4 linked regions of the Rhinolophus ferrumequinum genome follow. The protein of the gene in region 2 purifies or fractionates together with the protein of the main gene of each other region. This does not show direct contact. Links are inferred from orthologs where the notes say so. Each region holds a gene or a part of one and is shown on either strand. Other genes may lie near its edges.

The links.
Region 1: the proteins of RPP14 (region 2) and RPP40 purify together in Homo sapiens (co-immunoprecipitation; 3 studies listed by BioGRID and IntAct, with this or other methods). This does not show direct contact. The link is inferred for Rhinolophus ferrumequinum from reciprocal best matches to the Homo sapiens genes RPP14 and RPP40.
Region 3: the proteins of RPP14 (region 2) and POP5 purify together in Homo sapiens (co-immunoprecipitation; 3 studies listed by BioGRID and IntAct, with this or other methods). This does not show direct contact. The link is inferred for Rhinolophus ferrumequinum from reciprocal best matches to the Homo sapiens genes RPP14 and POP5.
Region 4: the proteins of RPP14 (region 2) and POP4 purify together in Homo sapiens (affinity purification with mass spectrometry; 3 studies listed by BioGRID and IntAct, counting the BioPlex papers as one, with this or other methods). This does not show direct contact. The link is inferred for Rhinolophus ferrumequinum from reciprocal best matches to the Homo sapiens genes RPP14 and POP4.

What each region holds. Positions count from the first base shown.
Region 1 is NC_046292.1:88,848,630-88,855,521, forward strand, and holds the start of RPP40 (ribonuclease P protein subunit p40), read left to right. Parts: upstream 1-3,884; 5' UTR 3,885-3,927; coding exon 3,928-4,050; intron 4,051-4,103; exon of another isoform or gene 4,104-4,781; intron 4,782-5,666; coding exon 5,667-5,811; intron 5,812-6,892. UniProt on the Homo sapiens protein: Component of ribonuclease P, a ribonucleoprotein complex that generates mature tRNA molecules by cleaving their 5'-ends. Also a component of the MRP ribonuclease complex, which cleaves pre-rRNA sequences.
Region 2 is NC_046300.1:52,911,009-52,919,012, reverse strand, and holds the start of RPP14 (ribonuclease P protein subunit p14), read right to left. Parts: upstream 3,022-8,004; 5' UTR 2,888-3,021; exon of another isoform or gene 2,755-2,887; intron 2,749-2,754; exon of another isoform or gene 2,558-2,748; intron 136-2,557; 5' UTR 125-135; coding exon 39-124; intron 1-38. UniProt on the Homo sapiens protein: Component of ribonuclease P, a ribonucleoprotein complex that generates mature tRNA molecules by cleaving their 5'-ends.
Region 3 is NC_046308.1:13,276,935-13,283,864, forward strand, and holds POP5 (ribonuclease P/MRP protein subunit POP5), read right to left. Parts: upstream 3,007-6,930; 5' UTR 2,923-3,006; coding exon 2,903-2,922; intron 2,815-2,902; coding exon 2,672-2,814; intron 1,784-2,671; coding exon 1,634-1,783; intron 1,455-1,633; coding exon 1,371-1,454; intron 1,261-1,370; coding exon 1,148-1,260; 3' UTR 283-1,147; downstream 1-282. UniProt on the Homo sapiens protein: Component of ribonuclease P, a protein complex that generates mature tRNA molecules by cleaving their 5'-ends. Also a component of the MRP ribonuclease complex, which cleaves pre-rRNA sequences.
Region 4 is NC_046298.1:2,073,915-2,080,806, reverse strand, and holds the start of POP4 (ribonuclease P protein subunit p29), read left to right. Parts: upstream 1-4,106; coding exon 4,107-4,113; coding exon of another isoform or gene 4,114-4,201; intron 4,202-5,708; coding exon 5,709-5,761; intron 5,762-6,892. Other genes in the region: uncharacterized protein LOC117034730, read right to left, coding at 2,479-2,634, 3,812-4,201. UniProt on the Homo sapiens protein: Component of ribonuclease P, a ribonucleoprotein complex that generates mature tRNA molecules by cleaving their 5'-ends.

The sequences.
Region 1 (6,892 bases), on a different chromosome or scaffold from region 2:
TTGTCTCCTTTCCTTGTAAAATAACTCTTCTACCACTTTCTACCTCATTGGCATTTATTTGGGAATCAGAAATTCACCCCACAGCTTAATATTCCATTTTTGGAATAAGTCAGTCACACTCTGGAACAAGCACCAGTGCCATCCACCTCCAGAGATCTTGAAAGTAGTTTAAGATCTTTTAGAACCTCCAGAGAAATCTTAATCTTTCCCATTTCCTTCTAGTCAAGCTTTTTTTTCCTCAAGTACCAGCATTGAAAATAAAGTTTTAAAAATTATTGTGCCAGCAAGAAAAGGAATGAAGTACTGATTATGTTGTCATATAAATGAACCTTGAAAACATTGTGCTAAGTGAAGGGAATCAGTCACAAATGTCTATTTATTATGATTCCATTTATATGAACTGTCCAGCAAAGACAAATCTACAGAGACAGAAAGCAGATTAGTGGTAGCTTAGGGCCTGGAGAGGACAGTGGGGAGGGTAGGAGGGTGATAGCTAAGGGTGTTCCTTTTTGAGGTGATGAAAATGTCCTAAAATTGACTGTGGTGTTGGTTGTATATATCTGTGAATATACTAAAAACCGTTAAATTGTACACTATAAATGAGTGAACTGTACAGTATAGAATTGTGTCTCAATAAAGTTGTTTTAAAATTTTAAAAATTATTATGAACTATTTCATACATTCAAAATTATATATATACATACATATATATGTTCATATATCCTGTACCTGTCACCTGCCTCATAAATACAACTTCACTGGTTTTGAAGACACGTGCGTGTCCTTCCCAATACAACCCCTTTGTGTTCTGCTTTTTCTCTATATTGAGATATAGTTGACATATAACATTATTAGTGTTCTGCTTTTAAAATACTCCTTCATTTGTACACTTCCATGTACTGACATAGCCTACATAGTTGTCATTTTTAATGTTTGTGTGCTTCACTGATTTCCAACCAGTCAGAGGGAGGACAGCTGAGGAGAGAGGAAATATCGTCTGACTTTGCACCTTGAGCAGAACTTCTGAGATTCAAGTCCTCTCATGGGGTGGACCATGGAGTATCGTTGGGGGCCATTCGTTTTTTTCCCTTGCAGCTGCTAGATCCAGTTTCCACTCTGTGTGCCATCAGAGGGCGGTTTTGTTTTTGTATACCAATAAGGGTCCATTTGTGGTGGCTGCCTGGAGTCCTGCACTGGAAAGAGCGCTGAGGTCAAGTTCAGGTTCGGCAGGACGGAAGCCTCTGATTTATTACAGGCATCTGCAAGTCAGTTCCCAGCACTGACGTCACTGCTACTCTGACTTGTAAGGAGGCGATGTTAAATGCATCCAGGGCGGTGCTGGGCACCAAAAAACAGGACTTAGTCACTCCAGGAGCTTCTGAGCTGAAGAGCTCTCTCCTTCCACGACTGCATATTGCTAGCTATATTTCCACATATATTTATAGCACTGCAATTGTGTTTTGGATTTGCACCCTGACCCAGGAATTAATTTATTTAAAAGAGTATTTCAACGTTTTCAAGGAGTTGAGCATCTTTAAATTCTGGTTATTTCTAATTTTATTGCACTGTAACCCCAAAATGTGGTATGTAAAATTTTTGCCCTTTTAGATTTACTAAGAATATTTTTATGTTTTTTAAGAATACAAAGGTATTTTTATTTCTTTGCAAGTCTGTTGACTTAGTTTTTAAAAACAAAATCATTTTGTTACTATATAGTGTGTGTATATATTATGGTTTTGTTTCCTGTGCTTTTTTCCCTTTTTTAGCCATTTTTTTTTCTGGCCCTTCATTCTCTCTTAGAGTTTTCTTTCTATGCCCTATGCTCTAGATCTAATACCTGTTTGTCAGTTAAGGTTGCTTTCAGTTCTAGAAACCAGGAAATCTGACACACAATAGTATGAACAAGGCTATGGTAGGAGGCCACAGAGGTGGGCGGGGACCAGGTTATCTAAGCTTTTATGCTACTGCAGTGAGAAGCCAGTAGCAGGTTTAAATGGGGGGTGGAGGGAGGTGGCATATATCATGTTTTTCATGTGTTCAAGAGATCATGCTGGGTGCTGAGTGGAGAGTAGACTGTAGGAGGGCAAGACAGGAAGCAGGGTCAGGAGGATGTGCCTGGCAGCAGACCAGAAAAAGAGGAAGGTGGCTGAAACTGGTAGTAGGAATGGAGAGAATGAAAAGAGACTGCAATCAGGATGCATGTTGAGGCAGAGCCAACAGAGGATTGCATATGGGGTGTGAAGGGAAGAAGAGTCAGGCATAACTCCTGAGTGTTCCCCACAGGGAAGAGAATCCAGGCAGTTTTCAGCATATAGATGTATTGAAAGCTGAGACTGCAGGATCATTCTGAATGGTCAGGCAGGGAAGAGAAGGGGGCTGAGAATCACTAGAGATCTTCTGGTGGAGGAGCAGGAGCAGGAAGAGGAGCTGAGTAAGGTGTGGGGGAGATCCAAGAGATGGAGGGGGTGGGTCTCAAAAATCCAGAGGAAAGTGTTTCAAGAAGGAATATTTTGAAATGTACCCAGGGATCATTACAGACACAGAACTCTGGGAAGGCAGGCTGAAAGGACTCCTCAGGCCCAAATTTACTTGAAGCTACAGCTTTAATCTATAAAATAAATGGACTTTTGCCTTCTGTTTCATAATACAGGCACACCCCGCCACAGAACAAATCCTCAAATAATGTATCCCTGGAAAGACACCTCTGTGTTTTGAATACCCAAACTACATAGCAGGTATTTATCGCTCAACACATTTTTCAGCTGTATATATATATATATATATATATATATATATATACAGCTGTATATATTTATATATATATATAAAATTTATATTGAGTCTTCAAAATTTAATAAAACTTAGTTTAGTGGCTTGCTAGAAAAGCTTCATCTTGCTCCCAAATACAGAATCACACTATACTTTGCAAAGCTTTGGAGTATCAACAAGAGATGAATATATCTGACGTGGCTGCTTTTGGAAAGGCCACTGATACTTAATTGTGACCAAGAAGCAATGTTTTAGGCATTTTACATCCAAATATATTTGTAGCTTATGTCTAGGTGCTGTATTGTGATTTAGGAAATTGGTAGATTTTTTCAATTGACTTGCTATTCCTTATAATTTTTTCCATTGAAAATAGGTTTTCCTTATTTTTTCCAGAGACAGCCTGACATTTCAGGCACAGGTTACTCACAACTGGCAAGGGATCTTCTAGCTTTGTCTTAAACTTTTAATACTTACCTTGTAAATTACTTAACTTGGGTTCTTCCAAATTTTATAGTCAAATTAATGCTCCAGAAAGTTGTACCACATATTCTACTGTTTGGTATCCTCTCTGCACAGAATTGGGGCTGTGCATACTTCAGTTTGAGAAGCAACTAGTCAGGTAGTACTTGAAGTTTATCAGAAAAATTAAATGGAAAAATAAATTATTACTGTAACCCCAACAGCAATAAATACTAAGAGGTTCCGGAAGGATAATTAAAAAGGGGTCTTAAAAGTGGTTCCAAAGGCGTCTTAGTGTAGTGCGGAAAACAGAAATTGGGTATTACCTTCCTAAACAAACTTCCTAACAGTTTAGGAAAGAGCAAGGTGGGGGTGGCGCTCATAGGGAGGATTTATGGCGAGACAGAAGTTGGGAGGGATGGAGGGTTTGGAGAGAAAGGTGGCTTTGGAATGACAAGTTCCATGTTCCCAGGTACCAGGTAATTCCATTTGACTCAGCGAACTTACGGTGCCAGGTACCCGTTAGTGAGTTTCTACTTGGATCCCAAAGAAGCCTGGGGCAGCCGGCACCGCCAGCTCCACCCCGACCTGGGGTCGGCCTCAAAGAGCGCCGCCGGGCCGCACTGCGCATGGCTCAGGGGCGGGGCGAAGGGAAGGGGCGGCGCGCCAGGCCCGCGGAGGTTCTGTGGCAGGGAAAGCATGGCCACCCTGCGCGGGCTGAGAGAGGTACCCCGGCACTTGCTGGTCTGCGAGAAATCCAACTTCGGCCACGACAAGTCGCGCCACCGGCATCTTGTGGAGACGCACTACCATAATTATAGGGTGAGTCGGGCCGCCCTCGGCTCGCGAGCTGGAGAGGCTTGAGAGGATCTGTACTCCGCTCTGCGTGGCGGGCCCGCCCTCGGCGCTGGGGGGCGGGGCCCTTCGCCGGGAGTGCTGGGAGCTGTAGTCTCTAAACGGGTCGGAGCTGGTTGCTGGCGGACCAGCCGGATTACAACTCCCAGGATGCGCCGCGAGCGGCGCGGTATCGGCCCTGGGGGAGACCTGGGCGGTGTGCGCCGGTAGCACGTTCCTCCCGTCCCTTCCCCGGCCCATTTGCAGAGCATCCCGGGGAGGGATGTGAGGGGCAGGGCCGCGACTGTTGCGAAGTGCAGCCGCCGGCCGGCCTCGTACAACTCGCTTTTTCCCCACATCGAAACCAGACTCGCCTCTTCCCCACCGCCTAATTCCTTCTCCCACCCGTGTGCCTGTGGATTTTTCAGAGCATCGTGCGGAGTCTACGCCCAGATAACGACTTGCTTTTCTAAACTGCTTATGGAAACTGGATTGATAGCTGAGAAACTTTCCACTTTGCCTGCCTGCTGCCCTATGTGTACTCAAGACACACTGTGCTATTTCGGCAGCTTTGGGGAGAAATTCGCTGTGATGGCCCCGCTAGCGAGCACAACCAAGAGTTTTAACAGGGTGGTAACAATGGCTGTTGTTGCTTCGTGAAAATGTCACCCTCAGGGGTGCCTTTTCCTCAGATGTGAAAGTCGAGGCATCTCAGTGAGGTTAATTATTGGTTTATCCAGGATCTGTTGTGAGTGGAGGAGAACAACCCAGATTCCCAGTCAAGTGTCTATAGGGCTGTTTTCACCAACCCATTTAAGTGGTGAGACCTCCAAAAAAATCAATCTCAAGATGATAATGGTTTAAGCCTTTAGCACGTTAAATTGATCAGCCTGATCAAAACTCAGGCCCGACTGGCCTGTTTCTCAGAGACTCAAGTGCTGACTCTGGCCCTTCCGGGACAGACTGGTGTGTCGGCAGCTTTGGGAGAGTGATTTTCAATGTGTGGAGCCTTGGGCAGCGTGTGAAACCCGTTAGGTTTTAACATCTCCGCTTTGGATGGAAAAACTACTCACAGATAGTAGTCAGGGACGTATGCCTTAACTCGCCAGGTCTGATCTGTAGAATTTTTCTGTCTATAAAATAGAAACATCCAGTAGCACTTCTGCTTCCATGTACCCTACTAATAATTGGTTCTGAAGAGGTAAATTCCTTATGCTCTAAGAGACATTTCCTGTGATTCAAACCCGCGACCAGGATAAACAAATTTAGGGATATTCAATTGTCCTATTTTCCCTAAAAATTAGTAAAAGGAACAGGACATATTTATAATGCTTCTTTGTAAAAAAATAAAATACTAGCACGACATTTCCATTATTTATTTGTTTTTTGGGGGTCATTCTCCTTCCTATACGATATTTGAATACAGAAATGAAAACTTGAATTGTCAGGTGTTTCTTTTCTTGAGATTGGTAAGTTAATTAATGAGAGTTTTGTAGAAATCTCTGGCGGTATAGTTAGCAGCCTTCATGATCTATATCATCGCTAAAATCCTGGGTGTTCAGCTACGTGAAAATAAAACTTGTTTATATTACACATTCCAATAGGTTTCATTTCTGATTCCTGAATGTGGTATACTGTCAAAAGAACTCAAAAACCTGGTCATGGAAACTGGATCCTATTACTTTGTGAAGAATTTACCTGTTCATGAGTTAATTACACAGGAATTCATCAATACCTTTGTAAAGAAAGGTAAGAAAAACCATGCAGTGTCTGTGAACGTGGCAAGATGAGGAAGTATGGTTAGATCACATCACAACACAAGGGTTTTTCTCTTGTGTTAAATCGGGCCTATGGAAATAGTCCGTGTGGTCAAGTGCATGCATTACTCTCCCCATTCCTCAGTATTCTTGCCCTGCTCTTCCACATGCTTTCATTAGGTGGTGGTTTCCGATGACATTTGTCCACAGGTGTTGCTTGGGGTTATTGTAACATGAAGGCATCCCTCATCTTAAAATAAAGATTAGTGAAGAGGAAACCCTTTTGATCTGTGTATTCAAATTCGGTGCTGTTGGGTATGTGCCTCCAAAGAACAGTATGCTCCCAGTACCATGTTTCCCGGAAAATAAGACCGGGTCTTACAGTAATATTTGCTCCAGAAGACGCATTAGGGCTTATGTTCGGGGGAATGTCATCCCAAAAAATCATGCTCGGGCTCATTTTTTGGTTAGGTCTTATTTTCGGGGAAGCACAGTAGTTCCCACAACAGATATCTGAAAGGTTGGTTTCGGATAGCAGCTGTTCACAGTGGTTTGGTGTCTTCTGCTTAGACTTGGTTCTGAAGAGGTAAATTCGCACCCTCCTCTGCTCACCCCATTCCCAGTCGTGTCTGGTGGGTGGATTGGATTATTCCAGTTGTTTCCTAGGAGCCACTTGTTTGAAACTATTTCAGAAAATCTTTCGGGATCGCACCCTCACACCGCACGTTACTGCACTTATAAGTAAGCAAGCCACTTACTTAGCTTGCGGTCAGACCGTGTTTTCCTCTCCAGTGGAGAATCCTAGTTCCTGGTAGCTCCTCTCACTCTGATGTTGCTGGGGCTGCTTATGAAGCTGGGCGTCTTGTCTTTGGTCTCATCGACATTGTTCCTTTCATCTGTTTTGAAGTTTGATGCTACTTTTTTAATATTAATAGTGTGGACACTGGCTATAGTAGGCACTTTTACATATCTTACCCAATTTAAACCCTTGCCACAACTCTATGAAATATGCCTGTGATCCCCATTTTACAGGTGAGGAAATTGAGGCTGGGAGAGATTAAGTAGTTTTCTTA
Region 2 (8,004 bases):
TAAGTAATCAAAAATAGAATTTAGGAGACTGAACTTACAGGCAGACTTTCATGTAGTGGTGCTCAGAGGGATTTTTGTAAACTATTCTTTCATATGTGGCAGCTGGGGCTGGCATCATTTCCATGCTGATTACACCTACGTTGTGTCAAGAGGGTTAGAAATTAACAAGGTACAAGCTACTTTTCACTTTGTTAATGAGAATTCGACCTATTTGATTTTTTAAAGAACTCCTAAGGACTGTAACTCATTTAATTCTGGTCAAACTAAGGTTGCCCATACAGACACAAAGGAAGTTTCTATATTTCATATATGCCAGACAAGTGTATTATTTAAATTCTAATAACATAACCCCACCGAACATTTTCCCCTACTGAGTACCCAGCTCTGTGCTAAATGCTTTACATGCCTTAGGTCATGTCTTCAAAATGATCCTATGAGATAAAAGCTATTATTATTTCCATCTTTGAGAGGAGGACATTGAAGCTTGGCAAAGATAAGGAACACCTGCGCAAGGGAACAAAGATTCCAACCACTCCTAGCGCCTTCATGACCCTCTGGTATGATGCCTCTTAATCCAAAAAAGTAAAAACATAAAGGAGTAAATCTGGGATCTGAAGGCCCTCTTCTTGTTTACTCTCAGCCAACACAGAACATGAACAGAACGAGGGGTAGCAGTTCTGCTGACTGGATCTGCAAGTTCTTTCCATCAGGCCAGGTCAACAGAGGGCTATGTGGCAGCCCCATGAAAGACTGAGCTTAAACAGCAACGGGTTTGGGGCGAGGAATTCCTGGGATGGGCACTCCATGCCATTTCTAACAGATCTGCAACTTTCAAGAACTCAGAACACGCTGCTCCCCCTGTAGAGAATCCCTGTCCTTGGCTCCATTCCCACTTTACTCTCCCTTTCCATAGTGCCTCCTCATCCTGCGAATTTTAGCTTACAGTTCATTTCTTCCAGGACTTTCACCTCTTCAGGGGAGCCTTCTTTGGCACTCTGTTCTGTTAGGTTCCCTTGTTATGCAATCTCTTAACATTGTCTATTTAATACCTAGTCCCCCCACATAGGAACCAGGAAACTGAGGCACTACCAAGGAAAGGGACTTATCCAAGGTCACATCGCTATAGACCAGCATTTGCAAAATCCTCTGGTTCAGGCCAGTTCCGACCACTCCTAGATAGTGACCACCAGAGAAAATGAGAAGTCAGGGTAAAAGAACTACAGCCAGCCATTCAACAAACGTGAATATTTACTGTGTCTGGCACAGAGCAGGCATTCGACCAACTTACTGAATACATGACTGAATGACAGAGGTGTTAGGCCTGTACGTTCAAGAGCATCTTTGGTTTCAGGACTGCGGCAATGGTTACCAACCACTAGTCTCCTGTGACTAGAATGGCAGGGAGAACAGGACTCAATCATTTCATTCATTGCCTGGCACATGATAGGTGTTTTTTAAGTGTTACCGACTAACTTGCCAGAATTGGCTGCCTGAGGTAGGAGAATGAGATTAGGCCTGGGGTTTAGGATGCCAGTAACAATGAAGATTTACAGAGTATTCTGGAAATGGATAGTGGTGATACTTGCACAATATGTGTACTTAATGCCAAGAAATTGTACATTTAAAAAAATGGTCAATTTTGTTGTGTTTCTCACCCCCACACACACTCAGACTTAAGGAGCAAGTGTTGAGCAATCACCTCTCGCTGGACAAGCCTGAGCCTCAAGGTCAATGAGAGCACTGCCCTCTGCGGGCTGTCCTGAGACTTAAAAAGACGGATGCCTGGGAAGCCCTTCCTACAGCCTGGCATATTCACCAGGCTCACCACAAAAATGTGGGCACTTCTATATAGTCATTGCCGTCGTCACCTTTGAAATCAGCCTTTTAAATGGCTACAGACACACTTTACTTCATCCGTTAGTAACTGCTCTCCCTGCTTCCCTCCTCTAACTAGCCTCTACTACAGCCATCGTGAGCCTATTAAAACCTATTCGAGTCACGTCATTCCTCTACTCAAAACCTTGCAATGGTTGCCGTTTCCCTCAGAGTAAAGCTCAAGTCCTTACAGCCGCCTGCCTGCAAGGCCCTACCTGATCTGCACCTCGTGTCCTGCCATTTCCCCACACAGGCCTCCTAGCTCTTCCTCACACTGCAGTTTCCCTCTCGCCTCTGGGCCTCGCTCCCAGCTTCTCTGCGTGCTGGAACATTCTTGCACCAGGTAGCCAGCCAGCCACATGGCTCACTCCCTTGCCTCCTTCACGGCGTCGCTCCAATCTGACCCCTCGATTTGATCCAGTGTCTATCTGATACGGCACCCCCTCCCACCATGCTCCTACTTTACTCTTCTCACAGCACGCACCACCTTCTAATATAACTACGTAATTTCATTTGTTTGTACTCCCCATCCCAACAGATGTACACTCCACAAGAAACTGGGATCTGTCTTGTTCACTGTTTCCCAAGAACCTAAAACAGTGCATCGCACATAGTAAGCACTCCATATGTAAATTTTGGACTAAATCAATGACGTTAAAAATAAAAAAGCTAAATCCCCTACTGTTGCGCACTTAAGTCGTTTTCAACTTTTTTCGATTAACGTCCATTTGGCGTCCAGCTGGCGCCGAGAGCATGCGCTCAGCACCATTGTCACAGCCACGCTCTGCTTCCGCGACCGCCTGGTACAGAGGCCTGGGAAGGACCGCGGCCGGGCCTCGCCTTCCAGCCGCCGGGTCCTCCGCGGAAGCGGAAACCTACCTCAGGCCACCCTGCGCCGCCCGCCGTCACTCTCGTCTTGCGCATGCGGCCTAGGCCGCGCGGCCTGCGTCACCCGCCGGCCGACTAAGCCCAGTCCCGGAAAACAGCCGCTCTGCTATGGGCTTCCGCCTACCCGTTCTTCGCGGGACTGCGCTGACGCCTCCCTGACTCCTGTTCACTGCGAGAATCCGCCAAGGCCTGGAGCTCCCCTGCAGAGGCTTGAGCCTGAGTCCGGGAAACTCCGGGGAGGTTCACGTTCGGCTTTAGTCTGCCCGCCCCCCGGATGCGTGGCGGCTAGGCGCGGATGTGACGTCACCGCGAGGAGTCCTCCTAAGGACCCAAGAGTGAGTCCTTCTCAGGAGCCGGGGCCTGCCGAGCTCAGTACCCTCTGGTGCCCACTCCGGAGAAAACCGCGTGTGCAAATGTCTGCATGGGGTACGGGACTCAGGGCCTGTTTATTTTCCCAGGAAGCTTGCTTCATAGTCATTCATTTATCCATGCAGTCGTTCATTCAGTAAATTTATATCGAGCATCTCTTCTGCTGGGCATCTATGTCATTACTCACCAAGGACACGACCTGCTCTCAATGTCTCTCGTGGCTGACAGCACATAGTAGGTGTTCGGTCGGCTGGAGTTGACAAAAAAGACCCAGATGGTCCCATTTACAAATGTAAGCCAAATTTCATCTACGCATTTATTCATTAAGTACTTGCCGAGCTCCTTGTATGTGCTAGATACTGAGGATTCAGCGGAGAACAGAAAGGCTTCTGTACTCATGAAACAGCTCTTGTATTTAATAATAACAATAATAACAGCTAGTATTTATCAAGTGCGTACTTTGTGCCAGGCACTATGCAAAGAGCTTTATATATGTTACCTCACGGAGCGCTCACACTATCCTAATGTAGCTATCCTTGTGATCATCCCCATTTTACAGAGGTGGAAACAGGCAAAAGAGGCTCAGTGCCTTGCCCAAGATCACACAACGGTAAGTGTGTCATTGTAAAGTGGGCCGTCTGACTCCAGATGGTGTTCTCCACACTGCAGCATGGTATTACCACCGATCGTGTGGGATGAGGCAGGGAGTATTTGGGAGAGTGGCTGGGGCTGCCAGAACGAATGTAAGCACCGTGGGGATGGGCCCGTGTCTCCACTGGCTTACCACTGCCCCTCAGAGGAGACAGGACTTGTTCCAGATTTCAGGAGAGGTTGAGGAAATCAAAACAGACCCCACAAACAGTGGCATTTTCTTTCTCAAAAAAGCATGGGTTTCAGATGCTGCCAAAATTAGCTTCAGATTCATCATCTATCACATGGAGAGATGAATAGCATCTACCTCAGAGTTGTGAGGCAAAAAAAGTGGTGTAAAGTATCTGGCACCCGGCAACACTCTGGAATGGAAGAGAGTTGCCTAAATCAGCTGCCTGGCAAATCCATCCTGCCAGGCTGCAGCCCATCAAAACCAACGCAGCTCCTGTATGAGGTGTAATCAAACAATACGGCAAATGTTTAAATAAAAAAAAATTATTACAGTAAAAGACACATTGCTATTACCCTCCCCCCGCCCTCGCTTCAAACCCATCGTTCTTGCCACTTTCTGAAGCAGTTCTGGAAGTCCTCTTTCATGAGTGTCTTTAGTTGCGCTTTCGTGGCTGCTTTGATGTCCTGAGGCATTTTGATGCCGGGCAAGAACCAGAAGTCGCACAGTGCCAGATTCGGTGGATAAGATGGATGAGGACACACCGTATATTTTTATTTGACAGAAATTGTCATATGCCAGAAATGATGTGTGACATGGAGCATTGTCATGATGGAGAATGATGTATGGCACACTTTAAAACATCTCTGAACTGTAGCTCACGCCCGACTGCAGGGAACAAGTTGAAACGTCCCACTGTTACTAAGGTGCGACGCACCATTTCCTGTATTGAAGATCCCTGCCTTTCCGTTGGATGGCATTTGACAGCAGCAGTCACCATATGTTTTGATCACATCGGAAAGGCGCCGTGTCACACATTGCTTCTGGTAGGGCAATTTCTGTCAAATAAAAACAGTACGGTGTGTCCTCATCCATCTTATTCACCGAATCTGGCACTGTGTGACTTCTGGCTCTTCCCCAAAGTCAAAATGACCATGAAAGGTAAACGTTTTGAATCGATTCAGGACCTTGAGGCTGCCATGACAGTGCAACTAAAGACACGAAAGAAGAATTCCAGAACTGCTTCAGAAAGTGGCAAGAATGATGGGATAAGTGTGTTCGAAGTGAGGGGGAGTATTTTGCGGGGGATTAATGGCAATGTGTCTTTTACTGTAATAATTTTTTTAAATTTAAACATTCACCGTGGGGTGATCAGATAGCTTAGTTGGTTAGAGCGTGGTGCTGGTAACACCAGCGTTGCCAGTTCGATCCTTGCATGGGCCACTGTGAGCTGTGTCCTCCTTAAAAAAATAAATAAGTAAACATGAATACATAAATAAACAAATATTCACCATATGTTTTGATCACACTTTATATTTTGGACTTCAAAGAACTTGAATAATTTTCACTCTCCTGAACCAAACCCTGAAAATGAAGTGCCTTTCACACCGCCTGAATCCTCTTAGTGCTGTCAGAGTTTGGGATAAAATAGTTGGTTGACCTTTGTTTTTCCATTCAATTTTATTTTTTGAGTAGATACTTGAGGCTTTCGGCATACATTTCAAATGGTATAAAGGGATAAGCAATGAAGAGTAAGTCTCCTTCCCACCCCTTCCCCATGAGCAACAACTAGTATGAATTTCTTAAGTGTCTCCCCAGAGATATGGTAGGGGGTGCTTTCCCTTCTTAACAAGGTATCTTAATATTATTCCAAATCAAAATACACAAGACTGCCTCAGTCGTTATAAAAGTTGCCCAGCATTGCATTGGGTGAAGTCAGTTGGCTCAAACGGGGCCATTCTGGATACTCTCTGTATCTGACATTTCAGAGCAAAGTTGTTGGGAAGGATCTGCTCGTATTGATACAGGAAAGTTAGCATGTCCCTAGGTTGACAGGGAGGTCCCTGGTGGAATAAACAAAAGACAGCCATATCCTAAAACTTCAGGTTTTAAAATCACTCCTTTGCTCTAGGACATAATGTAACAAGGCCCTGAGGTTAATCATAAAATTCCTTTTGGCCTGACAAATGGAGCAGATCTGATAGATAAGAGTGGATTACTTTGCTGATTCCTTTAGGATGGGTAAGCAGAACAAACCTGGTAGACGAATTTCATTAGAAGGCGCCAGTTCCCTTCTTCAAACAGCTCCCCTTCCCCAAGCAGGCAAGGGACGGTATAAAAGTAAGAACTTTTGCCTCAGTCATGGGGCACTCCCCATTCGGGACCCCCCTCCCACTCCGGAGCTGCAACCTCTTCTCCTGCCTCTAATAAACTATCCTCTTTTTAAAACTTTTTGCTTCTCCCTGGTCCGTATTTCCATTCTTCGGCTTCACGCGACACGATCCCGGCCCACACTCAGAAACTGCTTTCAGATCCAACATCACCTGCATCAGTTTTTTATGCATCTGGAAGCTATGGCAGTCAAGAAAGTGATGAGTCCATACTTCCACCCGCGTGGCTGTTGTCAGCTCCCCTCCCTGCCTTGTGAACTGGTGCCAAATGGATTTTGCTCAAAGTTGAGGAGCGTTCACAATTTGGGGGAAAAAGGCAAGAGAGAAGCCCGAGTAGGATGACAGTCCCTTAACATTCACAGCCACAATTCTCCATCAATCACACGGGAATTGTATCCATTTATGTCAGCAGCCTGTGAAGATAGGACAAAGGAAGTGAAAATGATCAGACATTAAAGGCTATGAAACTGCAGCTGTTGTTTCCATTTAGGGAGACCGGCCAAGTGCTAGACAGTTTGCTCACATTATCCCATCTACCCTGCAATGTCACTATTATTATTGCCTTTCACAGATGAGGAAAAGTAGCTCTAGAAGATAAGTCATTTGTCTAAGGCGGTGAGAGGCCCTAGAGCCTAAAATGCTGTATTCCATCCTTCCCATGTGAACGCAAGGCTGGGAGCTGCTCTTTTGAGGCAACCCGGAGCATTATCACCAAACGGGAAGCTTTGAAAAGCAGCCAGTGCGTCCGAGGCCCTAGAAGCCAAACCTGAGACAGGGATCTCCATGGAAGTTATTTTTTGGGGACAGCTATTTTGTGTGAAACCCTTAAGGGAAGAAGGAAACAGGATGGGGTAGGGGAAGAAGCTAAGCAAATGAGTTCAGCTGCAGTCTAGCTTTAGCCTAATCCTGCAGGGGAGCCCTAGAGCATAAATGATACCAGAAAGCTTCCAGCCTTGGAGGCAAGGAGGCCAAGCCTTCATGCGCAACACCCCTTCCCCCCCACAGTCAGTCATTGACTGCCAGCTATAGGGTTGCCAGATTTAGAAGAAAAAAAAGATACAGATTGCCCAGTTAAATTAGAGTTTCAGATAAACGATGAATGGGATAGCCTTACACTAAAAAGGTACTCATTTATCTGCAATTAAATTTAGCTGGGCGTCCTGTATTTTATCTGGCAACCATAGCAGGTGAGAGGAAGTGAATGTGGCATATCTCTCAGGTATCTCCAGTCATCTGAGGGTGGTTCTTCTGGGGGAAAGGGCAGCTGTGAGCCCTCTGCAGCCAACACCCGCAGAGGTGGGGGTTGGGTGCAGGAGTCAGTAAAGGGACCTGGGAAGAACATCAGCAGCACCCACTATGGGCAGGGACTCTGGGGGCAGCTCACCAGTCAATTGTAAAAACGACCAGCAGCTCTTGCCCAGACTCTTATGTCCAAAGCATCCTCAGGATAGCCTGGTCCCCGCTTCCAGCCCCCTCCCTAGCTGCCTTCTGAGGACGTTTTTTGCTCCTGCAGTCATTCTCCTGCTTGTGTTGGGGCTAGAGATGGAACTGGGCTATTTAACTTCGTTTCATCCAGCATTTTTGAAAGGTACTTACTTAAGTAGTGGAGGAGCCTTTCCTCTGAAGTGAAGTTAGAAACCTCTCCCTTAAAGAGGCCCCAGGACCCCAGGAAAGGAGAATTTGGAGAGGAGATAACCACCTGTACTTAAGCAGCTGTTTTTGGAGGGGCCCAAGATCCTTTCTTAAAATTCAGAGATCCTCTCCTAGCAGGTTCCCTACAAAGCAGTCCACCCCACCCCCACTTTGGAGGACTTTGCATCCTTATCACAGGAACCTGGGGGATCTGTGGGTTCTAACCAACAAGAGCCCCAAGATATAGAA
Region 3 (6,930 bases), on a different chromosome or scaffold from region 2:
ACCTGCACAAGCAATGTGAGCTTTCTGTTTTTTTAAAGTTCATTACAGGTCAGCTAGATAAACTTCTTAAATAGGTTAAAGCAATAACTACTATGAGCGTGAGCAATTTTGCTGTCACGGAGTAATGTCTTTTCTAGGGTCATCAGGTCTAAATAAAGGGTTCTTGAGCTGGGTTTAGGTTTAACCTGTCCTTGTTGAAAAGGTTCAGAAATCCTGCGTCAGGAACTCTCCTGGGTGAGTGAGGGTGTTCTAGCCTGAGATGAGGTGCATTGAAGAAAAAATCAGAACTCTGTTACATGTGTCAGGGACTTTGAGTGACATCCATTTTTATTATCAAGAAAACATCCTAGAAATGTCATTAGTAGGTAGATCAGAACTAACCACAATCTCTTGACCCTCCTAATTCCTGTGAGTGTGGCAGTCTCACCTGTTTGCAGCTGCCAGGCAGGTATAAGGCAATAGGGAAGGATGGGACTACAGAAACTACCAGAAATTGGCAGCTGCTACTTGGCTTTGTAATAATGGTCGGGTGAAGCCAAGTTTTTTTCCCCTCAAGAAAAGTGCTAGAACTGCATTTTTTGTCAAGTTACCTAATGAAGTAGACAAGGAACCTGGTATTTTTAAGGTTCTGTGGGTCAGTACTGAGACCAGCTGTAAATCTGTGCCAGTTCAGTTGCTGTGTCTCATTAATGCTTCTACTCCACATGACCTGGACTGCTTAGGGCCCGTCCTAGGGGCTCGGGGTACAGGCCTCAGTGAGAGACTGTGCATCTCGTACCACATAGGGAGCCAGTCTTCTCACTGAGGCCAAGGGTAGAGGGAAGAGACTTGGCCAAACATGACCTTCCTAAGTACATATGCTAAATGCTGTAGGAGCCAAATAAAATTTATTAAACATGCTCTCAGTCAGGCAATTAGAAACAAAGATAGCTGTAACCACAGAGGGTCCACAACCTGCAGAACCACTTGACCGGGCAACGCTAGGTAAAGGTGACATCAGTTGATGTGAATAGGTCTGCCATTGTGAGCTGCTAACTTGGCCTCTGATCGGCAGTCATCCAGTGTGAACTATAGAAGATGCTGCTGCCTCCCAGAATGTCGTTCCAACAAGGCCCTGAGGCCCAGGCACAGTGCCGCCTGCAGAGGCTCACTCCATTGCTTCAGCAGCCTCCTCACCACCATCTGAAAGGTCCTCCTCTCCCGACTCCTCCTCTAGTAAACAGCTTCTTGTGACAGACTTCTGGATAGCTTCCCGCTCTCCTGGAGAAAGGCAGACGGACAGCATGGATGAAAGATGTCTCTGGGAGTGTGACCTCTTATTCAGCTGGAGGTCACTGCTTAGTGGACACTGGGCTAGTAGAATTGCTTACCTTCATCCGTGCAGTTCTGCAACAAGATCAACAGCTGTCTCCTGTTGTATTGAATTAGGAACTTCTGACATGTTCTAATTGTACCTGGCACGTGAAAGAGCTTTGTGGTCAACAGCTGGTGAAATGGGTCTGACTCAAAGACGTTCAGAGCTAGGGGAAGGCTTCTTGTTCTTGGCAGAATAGCAGGAGACCCACCCACTAGTCAAGACTCAACTCTGAACCTGTTACCTATTGAAAATGAGCCATTCCACATGCACCCCTACCTCCCACATGTAAGGTGTTGAGAAAACACGGGTAATGGTGTCCTTTGTTCTCCAAGTATGTGATGAAGGGAAGAGCTGACCACACAAGCTGGTAGAATTCCTTTCGGCATCGAAGAAGCACTATTCCAGTATAGGCATTGAGGTATCGCACTACAGCAGGGAAAAAAAAAACACATTTGGGGGAACTGGATTCTCAGAGCAGGTTAAAAACCTTAGCGTAACAGAGAGCCTATTATGTGCCCAAACTGTTCAAGGTAGTGGCACTTGGGATGCACCAATGAGTTAAAACCAGATTCCAGAAGGAAAACAAATTGTAGGGAAATTTCATTTATGGAAGGGGGATAGACAACACCCAGTGCCTTGCACACTACTCATAACTGGCTGCTGATTTAGAATTTTAAATGCTCTTAATTCACTAGCTCAAATGGAATGGGATAGGGAGGGCGTGTGGAGAAAACCTTTGGCTGAAAAAAAGGTTCTAATACAGCTAAGCATTAGGTTCTTGAAGCAGCCAACTGTCTCACCTGATAGAGAAGTGTGCCTATGTGCATTTAATTCTCCAGGATTCCATTTCGAGCATATGGTATAAGGGAACAAATTTAGATACTGTGGCTGTAGGGAAGGCCCTGTTCTTCCTCATTTACACACACACAATTTGTTCTGTACTTTACTGGCCCTATTAAGGGCTTTTCAGGAGTAATTCTGAATGTTTTTTCCATGTGCTGTCAATGTAACCAGTCAAATAACTTGAATTCTACCCATTCTATTGAGTTTAGTCGTACTCCCCAATATACACATGTCAAACAGGTACAGGGAGTTCTTGCCCAAAGTTCCACTGCCTTCTGCTCTCTCCGCTTAACCTCGGACTCGTCCAGACGTGGGGCTCGGGGGTCCCAGACGCCTGAACAGGACGATATCGTACAGAGGATGGTGCATAGGGGTTGGCAGGCCCTGGGGTCGCTCGTGCTCCTTCATCCCTCCTCCGGCCCCAGTTCCCTCCAAATCTCGCCGTCTGTCAGTTCCCCAGCACCCTTGTACCTGCGAAGCCGATGGAGGAGGCGGCCGCGCCGAAAGTTCCGTGTACGCGGGCGATAGTGTCCCGTACGAGGCCACCCAGCACTCTGTCATCCAGACTCAGGCGGCAGCGGGGGTCGTCAGACACCACTTCGCAGAGCAGGTACCTGCGGCGGGCGAGAGGGAGGTGAGCACGCGGCCAGAGCCGTGGGCACCGGGCAGGGACTGTATTGAGAGGCCAGACAGGTTGCTTACCTGTGCTTGAACCGCACCATGGCGATCTCCGCGTCCGGCTTTCCGTTGCGCAAACCGGATGTCTGTGTTCCCGCTGGTGGCCAATGGGAAGTTAGCCTCCGCAGTCTTGCAGCCACTCAGAGAGGGAGGCAGGATAGAGGGCGGAGCTATAATGTTGAGAGGCCAAGCCCAGTGTCAGTCTCCTTTAAGCCCCGCCTATCTGCGTTTGCAGCGCGCATGCGTCATGCTGAGATCCACGCTGCTTTGGTTGGAAGTTGGACTCGGTGTTGGAGAGGTTCGTGGCGGTGATGGGTAGTTCTGCTCCACGCCAGAATTTGCAATACTCTATAGGATGCAGCTGCTGCATTTGGCGACCTCGGAACGTTTACTTTCTATTATCTTGTAATAAATACAGTTGTGTATGCACTTATATTCTCTCCCCAACCCGGACTGTAGTACTTTTGAGGATACGACCTTGCATTTACAGGCCAGCAATTGACACAGGAAATCGGACCCTTATTTTCAGGTTAGGGCTCGGTTTACTTTTTCCATACAGCGAAATATGTTATTACTGTTTGGGTTTTTCAACAATCTTAGGGAGACGGGTGTATTGTCTCGTTTTTTGTTTACAAAAGCAATCCGGGGGAGTTTTATTTTCCGATTTTTAAGCTGAAAAGCACAAAGAAACAAAAATAAATTATAATCCCAGCACCGAGAATAATTTATAATGTAGTTTGTTTTCTTCCGTTATTTTCCCCCTATACCTGAAGTTCTCAAAGCGAGATGCAAGGACCACTGGGTTTTCTCAGACTCCCTCAAGGTCAAAATTACTTTGATAAAAACACTGAGCTGTTATCTGCCCTTTTCACTCTCTTAGAGTGGACAGTAAAGTTTTCCAGAGGCTACAAGACGTGTGGACATTATTTCTCTAATGGCTAATGGAATTGTGAATTGTGTTTTAAACATTTCTGTTGTAATATTCATGGTAAGGATGGATATACATATTCCACAAAACAAAAGCTCTTTGGGATCCTCAATAATTTGAATGTAAAGGAGTCCTGAGATAGTGAAAAAAGTTTGAACTGAGAACTGTTGCCTATGTTAAATTGTATTTTTTATTTTCTTTTTAAGAATAGGATCATAATATTTAATACTCTTTTTTTTGCTTGAATATCTTTTTAAAAACCTGTCTCATTGAAGTATAACATATATAGAGTGCATATATATATATAGACTTGTATAACCATCTCCCAGATTGAGAGCTTTTCCAGCACCGAATAATGTTCTAGTATCTTCTTCCCAAAAACCTTCCCAGAAGTAGCCTCTATTCTGACTTCTATCATGATAGATTAGCTTTGCCTGTTCTTGAACTTTATATAAATATCCACAACATGGGGTGTGTTTGTGTGTGTGTCCTTCCATTTAACATAAAGTCTGTAAGATTCAGTCTTCTTGTTTGACTATATTTTCATGTCAACTGTTCTGCCATGTTGATTTTTTTCAGCTACATTTTCAGTATTGCCTTCTTTGGAAGTACCACTATTAAACTGGTCAATATTCCCACGATGGACGTTTAAATTAGTTCCATATTTTACAGTTGTACCCAGCACTTTGATGCACAACCTAGTGACTCGGTCTTTATACCTATCCATGACTATTTGTAGAACTGTCCTGGACTTGGCTGGCTCTGTGAGGTCCATGAACGGAGGCAGATTTCACAACTGATTATTTGAAAGATCTGGAATGAGTCCTCAATTTTTCCATCTCTCACTCTTCGCCACCTTAAAAGAGGGATACTGAGAAAGGAAAGGGAGGAGGGGAGGCAGGAGAGCGTGGCCTTGCTGAGAAACCAGAGTCTGCTTTAACTTTCTTCTCACCCAAGAACCACCTTACTATGCCCCCCACCCCCGCAAAAAAAGATCTTGCCAGCCTTCACCTTTTGCCAGCAGGGGGCATCAGAGGCCTGTAGTGTGTGGAGAGAGAAAGACGCCGCTTCCGAGTACCCCTTCTCCCTCCTGTCCCTAAAATCACGTCCCTAACACTTCCCGGCCTTCAACTCACTTAATCCCAACATTTTATGGGATGCAGTTGGGGCTCAGACCAGTCAGTCACACATCCAATAAGAAGCAGGATCAGAATTCGAACCCAAAGCCAGCCAACTCCAGGGTTCTTGTTCTTGGCTACACCGCTGATGTCCTGTCCATGTTTCGCTTGTCCACTTGGTGTAAAATTGGAGAGACTAGAGACGCCGGTTCGAATCCCCTCTCCGTCATTTTCCAGCCACGTGATGTGGGGGAAGTTAATTCACATGTCTAGATCTTATCTATGCCATAGGATAATAATGGTTTCTCCCTCACTGGTGGATGTAAAATTTAAACGAGATAACGTGGTCAAAACTCCTGGCACGGAGTACACAGTAAACGCTTTTTTGAATGCATGATCTACTCCTCCCCCCAGACACAGCCCCCAGAGGAAGCACAGTGGGCCAGTCCTGGGGCCCCCCTCCTCCTACCAGGCCCGGCCCCCTGCCGTCCCCTTCAAGATCTGGACACCCACTGTAGCCTGGCGGAGCCGGCGGCCGGGGCGGGTGGCATCGGCGGCGCCGCCAGCTCCCCGCGGTAATTAGCCTGTGCCGACTCGGGTTCCGCCAGCCGCTAATTACACGTCTCCTAATGAGGCCGGCGGCTGTTTGCAATTACCCAGGTCCCCGCCGCGCGGCGCGGGAGGCCACCGGGGAATCCGCCCACAGAGGAGTGGAGGGCGGCCGGGGCCGTGAGATCCGCTTGGCGGCGAAGGGTGTGTGTCCTGCCCGGCGCGGGCGGGGCGCTCACCGTCAGTCACCTCGATTCTCTCCCAGTGGTGCCACAGAACCATTATCCCCACTTTACAGGGGAGTCAGGGGACTGAGGCTCAGAGAGGCGAACTCATGCAGACACAAACAAAACTCACGCTAGAATGAGGCTAATCGTGATCTCTGACCGGGAGCCTCTGCTGTTAACCTATACAGGTTCTGTCTGGATCAGTGGGGTGGGTACTCGCTGTTGTTACTTCTGGGACTCTCAGAAGAAGGTCCCAGCTCAAATGAATTGGGGGTTGGGGGAGGGGGCTTGGGAAACTTCCTTTGAGCGCTTCCCCTTCTTCCCATCTGAGGGTTCCCATGCTCAATTTGTCCTTTTGGATCAGACACAAAACTGAATATTAGCTCTGGCAAGTCCTTTAAAACTTATTTGGAAACATAAATCACACAACCCATTTCACAGACTGGGAAATCTGGAGCATTCCCTAGGTGGTCCTGGCAGCTGCTAAAATGCTCCCATAAGATGGGGGTGGGAAACTACAATTGTTCACCTTGTTCCAGGACCTTCTAGGGAGATCCAGAGTAGCTGGATCCTTTATTCTTCATCTTTATCTTCTGGGACTACCAGTTATTAGGCTCTTACTATGTGCCAGGCAATGAACTAGTAAGCACTTTATATATTGGACTTCATTTAGTCTTCACAACAACCCCATGAGGGCAGGTATCATTATTCTCTGAGGCTCAGGGAGGGAAATGATTTGCCCAAAATCACACAGTAATTTCAGTCTAAAAAAGACCTTTTGTCTCACCCCAAAATCTGAGCTATTAACCCGAGTCTCTATCTCTTCTAGGCTGTCTGTAACCTAGAAGGATGTTCAAAGAAGTCAAACCTAATTGGGGTGCCATTCTGAAGTGACTTTGGCATCCAGGGGTTCCCTATCAGAGCCTGGGAGCTGCTGGTGGCTAAGGAAAATTGTGTCTGCTTCAGCATTTTGTTAAGTAGCCACTGCTCATTAGGAGCTCCTGCTCCTCTAGTCCAATCAACCAATTCCTTGTAAAGACTTTATGGGGACAATCTGGATAAAATTAAGCTCTCCATCTGCCTGGCCAGGGGCCTGGGAAGCTGCCACATCCTGCAGGTTGCTGGGGCAGACATGGCCCTCCCTGGACCTCAGAGTCAGAAGGTCGCATTCGCTCCTCCATCCTCCTCACTGCCTTATGGACTTCTTTCCCCTTCCCTCACCTGCTGCGA
Region 4 (6,892 bases), on a different chromosome or scaffold from region 2:
CTGACATAGTCCAAATGGCGGAATTAATATTAATGCCAGCTCTTTTGGGGGAATCAAGGAACCTCATTACATAGGAAAACAGGTTTCATAGCAGACTCGACCCTTGTCAAAAATCCGAAGTGTGGCCTGTCATTGGCACCCCAGCCACCTCTGCCCTTACTTCTTCCACCACTCGCCCAACCCACCCCCACCCTGTGTCAGATGGACGGCGGCCCCCCTCCTGGCTCCTATGGGGAAAGTGTGGGGGCGTCCTTTCCAAAAGCAAAGGCCTCCAGGTGTGTGTTAGAGACGCATGCTCCTTCCATACTCCATGGGTCCTCGGAGTCCCCCATTGAGCCCAAAGACCTGAGAGAAACACAGGAGCCACTCCAAGCTTACAAGGAGCGCTGCGGCCCACCCCAGGGCCTGAGCGCTCTGCAGACCAGCGCTGGGTAAACAGGCCAGTCCTCCTGTTACCACACTGACAGGCAAAAGGAACCTCACAAATGAGGATGGACGTGGGTCCTGAGAAGATGGAAAACGGGAACCAACCCGGCCGTGGAGCTATTCCCCAGCTGGTAACCTCCACAGGCCAGTTCTTCAGGTTCCTGAAGCCCCTGTGAGGGCTCCCAGCCACAGGAAGTGGCCACCAGGACCCGAGCACACAAAGCACGCTTCCCAGGACTTGTCCCTGCAGCAGCGGGCAGTGCAGGGGCTACAAGGGGGCCTGACACAGTCCCCATGCTCCCTTCATTTAACAAGCAAGACACAGGGGCCCAGAGAGGCCTCGGGGCTCGAGGGAAACAGTATTTATCACATGATTAAAAAGGAAGGGTGTGTGTGCTCTGGGCACATATTCTCAGTAGGTATGAAAATGTTAAGTCTGAACATGGAGGCACCTACCATCACAGGAAACAGAAAAAGTCTTTTCCAGCTCTAGAATTTCCATGTGTCTGCTGAAATTCCTCATCTTTTTACCCATTTTGTCCATCTTTTCCACTAAGTCATTTGACGTATTTATAATAGTATGTTAAAGGCCTTGTCTTCCAGTTAAAACGTGGGTCATCAATGGTCCTGTTCTAGTGACCATTTCTGGTCTGGATTATGGGTCACAGTTCCTGCTTCTTTGTGTGTCATACGTACTGGTTTTTAAATCTTAACCTGGATGTTGCAGGTGACAGAACAGAAGAGCGTGGGAAGGCTGAGAGGTGTCTCCATCTTTTCCTGTTGGGCATACCTTTTCCTGTTGGGCAGCGATGCCGAGGGCCTGACTTTTTCCCTGAATTATATTTTTCAATATGCTCAAGTCCCCATCTGGCTTCAAATATCTTGAAGGGGAGGTCTGTTCCCTACCTCCGGAGGGGCTTTGGGAGTCAAACATCATAAAACCAGGTCTCTGCTTTCCAGCCCTGTCCTAATGGCAGTGTGGGGTGATTTTCTGTCAGCTTGGTTCTCCCTCCCACTTTCCCATATTTGGGGCCATCATGGACTCAGACCTATGCAAACACACAGCAGCATGCACGCCTGCCCCATGCAGCCTGCATTGACTTCCCTGCAAAACCTTCCAGGGCCTCAGGAACGACATCCAGGGAAGATCTCTTACAACCCCCAAAAGCCTCCATCCAGTTCATTAAGACACCCTGTCATGAAACTCAAACCAAGCTTTCCTCAGTTGAGTTCAGCTCAGAGTAAAACTTCATCAGGAAACTGGAAGCATCTATGACAGTTGAGTTTTTAGACACTTGGGATCAAGACAGCCTTGAAGAGTGACTTTTGGGGGTTGAAAGACTGAGAAACCTGGATTTCAGAAACTGGTATTTGGTCACACATGCCAAGTGTCCTAGCCCCTGCTGTTCAAAATTCCAAATGGTTCTTAAACTAATTTAGAACACAGTGCTGTCTCGTGACCAGAAGGGATTGCTACGTTGTCCCCCTGTAAGCATCGGTCCTTTCTTGTAGCCAGAGCACCCAGTGACCCAGCAGGACAGGGCTGGCCTGGCAGGAATATCCCATGTTAGCACGGGCACCTTACAGCCTGGTCCCTTCACTCGCTGTCAGAATGGGCAGTCTCCTGTGGCACTATTGAGCTTGAGGAATGACTGCTGGGGCCCCCGTGTGCAGTCCCCCACCACCACCACTCCCAGTTCCCCTTCTCAATACACCACATCTGGACAATCATCAGATCAAAGGCAAAGCAGGGCCAGGGAAGTTCGTAACACTGAGCCTCAGGGACTGTTTCAGCTTTGTGAGAATGCAGACAACGATGGCTAGCATCTCTCAAACCATGTCTGTGCCAGCCCTGTTTTAACATGGGCGTCATATCACTGAGTGCTCCACACCACCCTAGGAAGCAGGTACTGTTGTCAATCCCATGGCACAAACAAGGCCTTCCTGTCTAAAACAGCAGAACAGGGCTCATCCCTCTCAAACACACCAGGTTTAACCACTTCACAAAAACACAAAAGAAAGAAAAAATTCTGTATGTATATACATACGAACATATACAAGATGTAATCAAAACACACTGTGACTGCTGCTGCTGAGTGCCATCCAACGGAAAGGCAGAGATCTTCAACACAGGAAGCGGCGCGTCGAACCTTAGTAACGGTGTGTGTGACAAGTTTCAACTTGTTGGTGCAGTCAGTCGGGTGTGAGCTACGGTTGAGAGAAGGTGTGTTTTAAAGTGTGCCGTAAATCATGGATCACAAACAACACATTAACATGAGATGGGCAAAGAGTTTCATCCGCCATCATGACAACGTTCCATGTCACACATCGCTTCGGATATGGCGACTTCTGTCCAATAAAAACATTACGGTGTGTCCTCATCCACCTTATTCACTGGATCAGGCACCATGTGACTTCTGGCTCTTCCCCAAAGTCAAGAGGACCATGAAAGGTAAACGTTATGAATCGATTCAGAACATGGAAGCAGCCAGGACAGCGTAACTAAAGACACTCACAAAAGAGGACTTCCAGGACCCCTTCAGAAAGTGGCAAGAATGATGGGATAAGTGTGTTCGAAAGGAGGGGGAGTATTTTGAGGGGGTTAATAGCAATGTGTCTTTTACTGTAATAATTTTTTTTAAACATTCACTGTAGTTTTTGATCACCCCTTGTATATACACGTGTGTGCATGTGTATGCATATGTATGTGTATATACATATATTTTATCAAATTATATTTTATGTTATATATAAAATAATACACCGACTTTTTTAACTTGGAGGATTACAACTTTCACCGAAAACAAAGCCTTCCATGTTCTCATTACAGATTTGCTGGTGCTTCTTCAGGATCATTACCATTTCTTCTACTTAAACTCTACTAGAAGGGTCCTAATTTTCATAGATGCCCGCTTGTTTAATAGTTGAGGCTTAATCTTTTGGGGCTTGTACATGACACTTCTCTTAGAGTACTCAACCTCCCGGCCTGAATGTCTTAAAGCAGCAATCAGAGGAAACCTGTACAATTACGGCAAAACGTTAATTGTACAATCGAATGGCGCACAGGTGTTCACTGTAAAATTCTTCTCCTTTCCTGTATAGTTCAAGATTTTCACAATAAATTGTTGGGGGGGGGGGGGCAGACTCATCTGCAATGATACCATCAAAACTCGACTTCCCCTGGAAATTTCACAAAAAAACCACTAGTGGGAAAACATCTGCGTGCATGTTTGAAAGCTTATCATTCAGAGCTATACAAAAAAAGAAAGGATCAAGCATCCCACACGCCCTAACCGCAGCCCTGCGGCTTCTAGCCTTCCCCCGCCCACAAAACACACAGGCTAGCCCCGCTCCGAGGGACAGACGAGCGCGGGAGCGGCCATACCTGCGCCAGCCGCCGAGGCCGCTCCCGCGCGCCGGCGCCACTCTAGGTCGGCGCGCGTCGGTGACGTCACGGCGGCGCCGTCCTCGCGTTCCGCGCGCCTGCGACCCCCGCTCTGCGTCCGAGCGGGCAGCCTGTCGACTTAGCGTGGCGCGCGAGCTCGGGTGCCCGGAACCTGTCCACCCGCGGCTGTGACGAGAGAGGCTGCGGGGGCCGAGCGCTGCTGAAGGAGCCGGAAGGTACCGCTGAGCGGCGCCTGACGCAGGCGTCATCAGAGCGCGCCGGAAGCGGTCCGAGGATGAAGAGTAAGGGGTCGAGGGCCGCAGCGGCGGAGGGGTGGGACGGGAAGGGTCGGGCTTGGTGCTGGCGGGTGAGAAGGAGCGCTGCGGAGTCCTACGGGAACCTCACTTCGGTGAAACGGGCCCGGGGCCCGGATAGCCTGACCCCGCCTCCGCGCAGGGTGGATGGCAGAGCTGGAGGCCGGTTCTCTGGGGGCTGCTCAGTGGGGTCTGAAGCTAGAGGAGGGCCCAAGGCCTTGGCCCGATGTGGCCGCTTCCTCCCTGGGTGACCGAGGTCCCCTTCTGTAAAGTACAGTTACTGATAATGGTGCCTTGGCACCTGCTGCTCTGTGAACGACCCTTGTTTGGTGTAGAGCTCTGGGCGCTTGCTGGGCAGTGATACCACTAACGCAAAGCTTCGGGAGCGGAGCGGAGCGAGCACCCAGGGCAGTCACAGGCAGGGGAGCGGAAACACCGTTACAACGGGGCTTTGGGTCAGGACTTTGAGTTCCGCCTCTGCGGGTTCCTACCTGTGTCAACTTAATAATAACTGTGTTAAAGGATTGTTCAGAAAGTGTAATGAGATGAAATATGTGTGGCTTTCAGTGAGTTTCGTGGCAAGTAGTGAGGGCTCAATACCATTAGATGTGTACTGTTACAAAAGCCTCCCAAGTCTAAAGCTAGGCACCTGTGACAGGTGAGGCAAAGTCCTTCCTGGGGCTCCAGGCCCTGTAAGTTGCTCTCCCCATCACAAGGGAGAACTCAACTCCAGACATCAAACTTGCAGCCACTTGGTTTGCTTCATCACATGTTCTCAGGGAAGCACAAGGGAGCTGGGATGAAATTTACAGAGTGTAGTGTGAACCAAATTTTCTATTCTTCTGTCCCTTAAACCAGGCCTTTCTCTCATTCTTACTCTGTTCAGACCCATAGTCTGTCCTCAGTGCCCTAGTTTTCTTCTTCAGACAAATTAAGTAAAAAAGAGGAGTGTGGAAGTTTGTAGAAGTTGAAACCACATCAATGATTGATATACTTTGATCTTGAAGAAAGACCTGTATTTTCTCAGTTTAGGGCACCACTTGTAGGGTACATCCCAAGTTCATAGATAGTAAAATGTGAAAAATCTTTTTTAAACATCTTACACGTAACAAAATGTAATATTGCCAACCACCTGCATCCTGGAAAGCCCTATCATATAACTTTTAGATGAGTTACTTTATTAGACTAATTGAGCAACTTCCCAGGTTTCTAAACTACGGTATTTTAAACCACTGCGACTCCAGATGTGGCCCGCTGACCCACAGTGACATGGAGAACTTGCTAGGAATGCAGGGTGTGGCAGTGGGGCCAAGAATCCACTTTTTCCTAAGAACCCAGAGATTCTTACACACCTTGCTGTTTGAGAAGCCCTGTTTTAAAGCACCCCCTTGGGAGTTCCACGATGGACATGGCCAGAGAGTAGGAGAAGAGGCATCCAAGGGAGTTTTGAAACTGCTCTTTACACCGTGCCATCTTCTCCTATCTCTGAAGAAGCATAATTATTTTCGTAGTTAAAAGCCTCTTGGCTCTTATAGCCGTACCCAACAGGAGTCATTCCGTGTTTGTGCTCTTCACTCCCCCAGGTGCGATCTACCATGCCTTTTCTCAGAAAGAGGCGGAAGAGTTTGATGTTCAGGTAAGGTGGGAGGAAGTCCACCCGGTGGCTTCTAGCCTTTAGTGCTGCTTTAGGTGTCCTTTTCCAGGTCTTACTCCTCACCTTTCCAGTAGCCGTGTTAGGTTCCCTCGAGCTCTGTTATTCTGTTGGCCTGTTTCATATGCTGGCCTCCTTTCCCATCGTGCCAAAGTCAAGCTTGGTTAACTAGGACTTCCTGACCTTGTGTCATCACCCACTATGTAGGGGACGCCAGGCTATGCCCACCTGAAACCTGCGCCTGTGAGCACTGTCATTTGACGTTGTCACTGTGTCCCCTTCACCCTTGAAGAGGGCAGGCAAATCACATTTCATAAGTGGAATTTATGGAGTATACCTGGATGCTGCAAACATGATTTGTCAGTTTGGCACACGCTCCACTGGTGACTCATGATGAGGGAGATACCTCAAAATCAAGATTTTGAAAGACGGATATACTTTTTTTGGCTTCTCCATGAAGGAGGGCCCACAGTCAAATAATTGTTCCCTTACAGAGATAATAGTGATGATTTTTAGTTAGCATCCAAGGTACCAAGCTGAAGCCACGTGCCCTCCCCCCGGTGAGCTCCTTATGTGCATCACACCTTCATTCCCCGCCCCCCTGAGGGGAGGGCTTGATGACTACAGACACAGGAGCCTCGGGGGGTTTGCAGCCTGTGGCCCAGTGCAACAGGGGCCCAGGAAATGGTCCCGCCGAGACACCAGTGGGTGGTGCTCCCTGGGCTGTGGCAGACCCGGGCAGCCGCTCCTGAATGAGGGACAGATTGGAGGTCTCCAGCTCGAGAGGCGGCGATGCTTGGAGTTCCTTCAAGAATTATACACGATTATGACGGTTTGCCCAGAAGTCCTCTCTGAGAGCCACGGTCACATGACACTGTGCTGTATGTACAAGAGAGTGAGCACGGGCGTGGGGGCAGGGCCTGAGGGGTGCTGACAGTTCCTTTCCCCAAGTGATGTGGGAACAGGCTTGGAGAGTAGCCACGATTCATCCACAGAACTGGAAACCCAAGTAAAGGGGATTGCAACGTGGGCACAGTGACAAAACCCCTACCCCGGGGGCTGGGCCCACCCCAGAGAAGGTGGTGTGCCGTTTTCCCGAGTGTGAGGATCATTCCC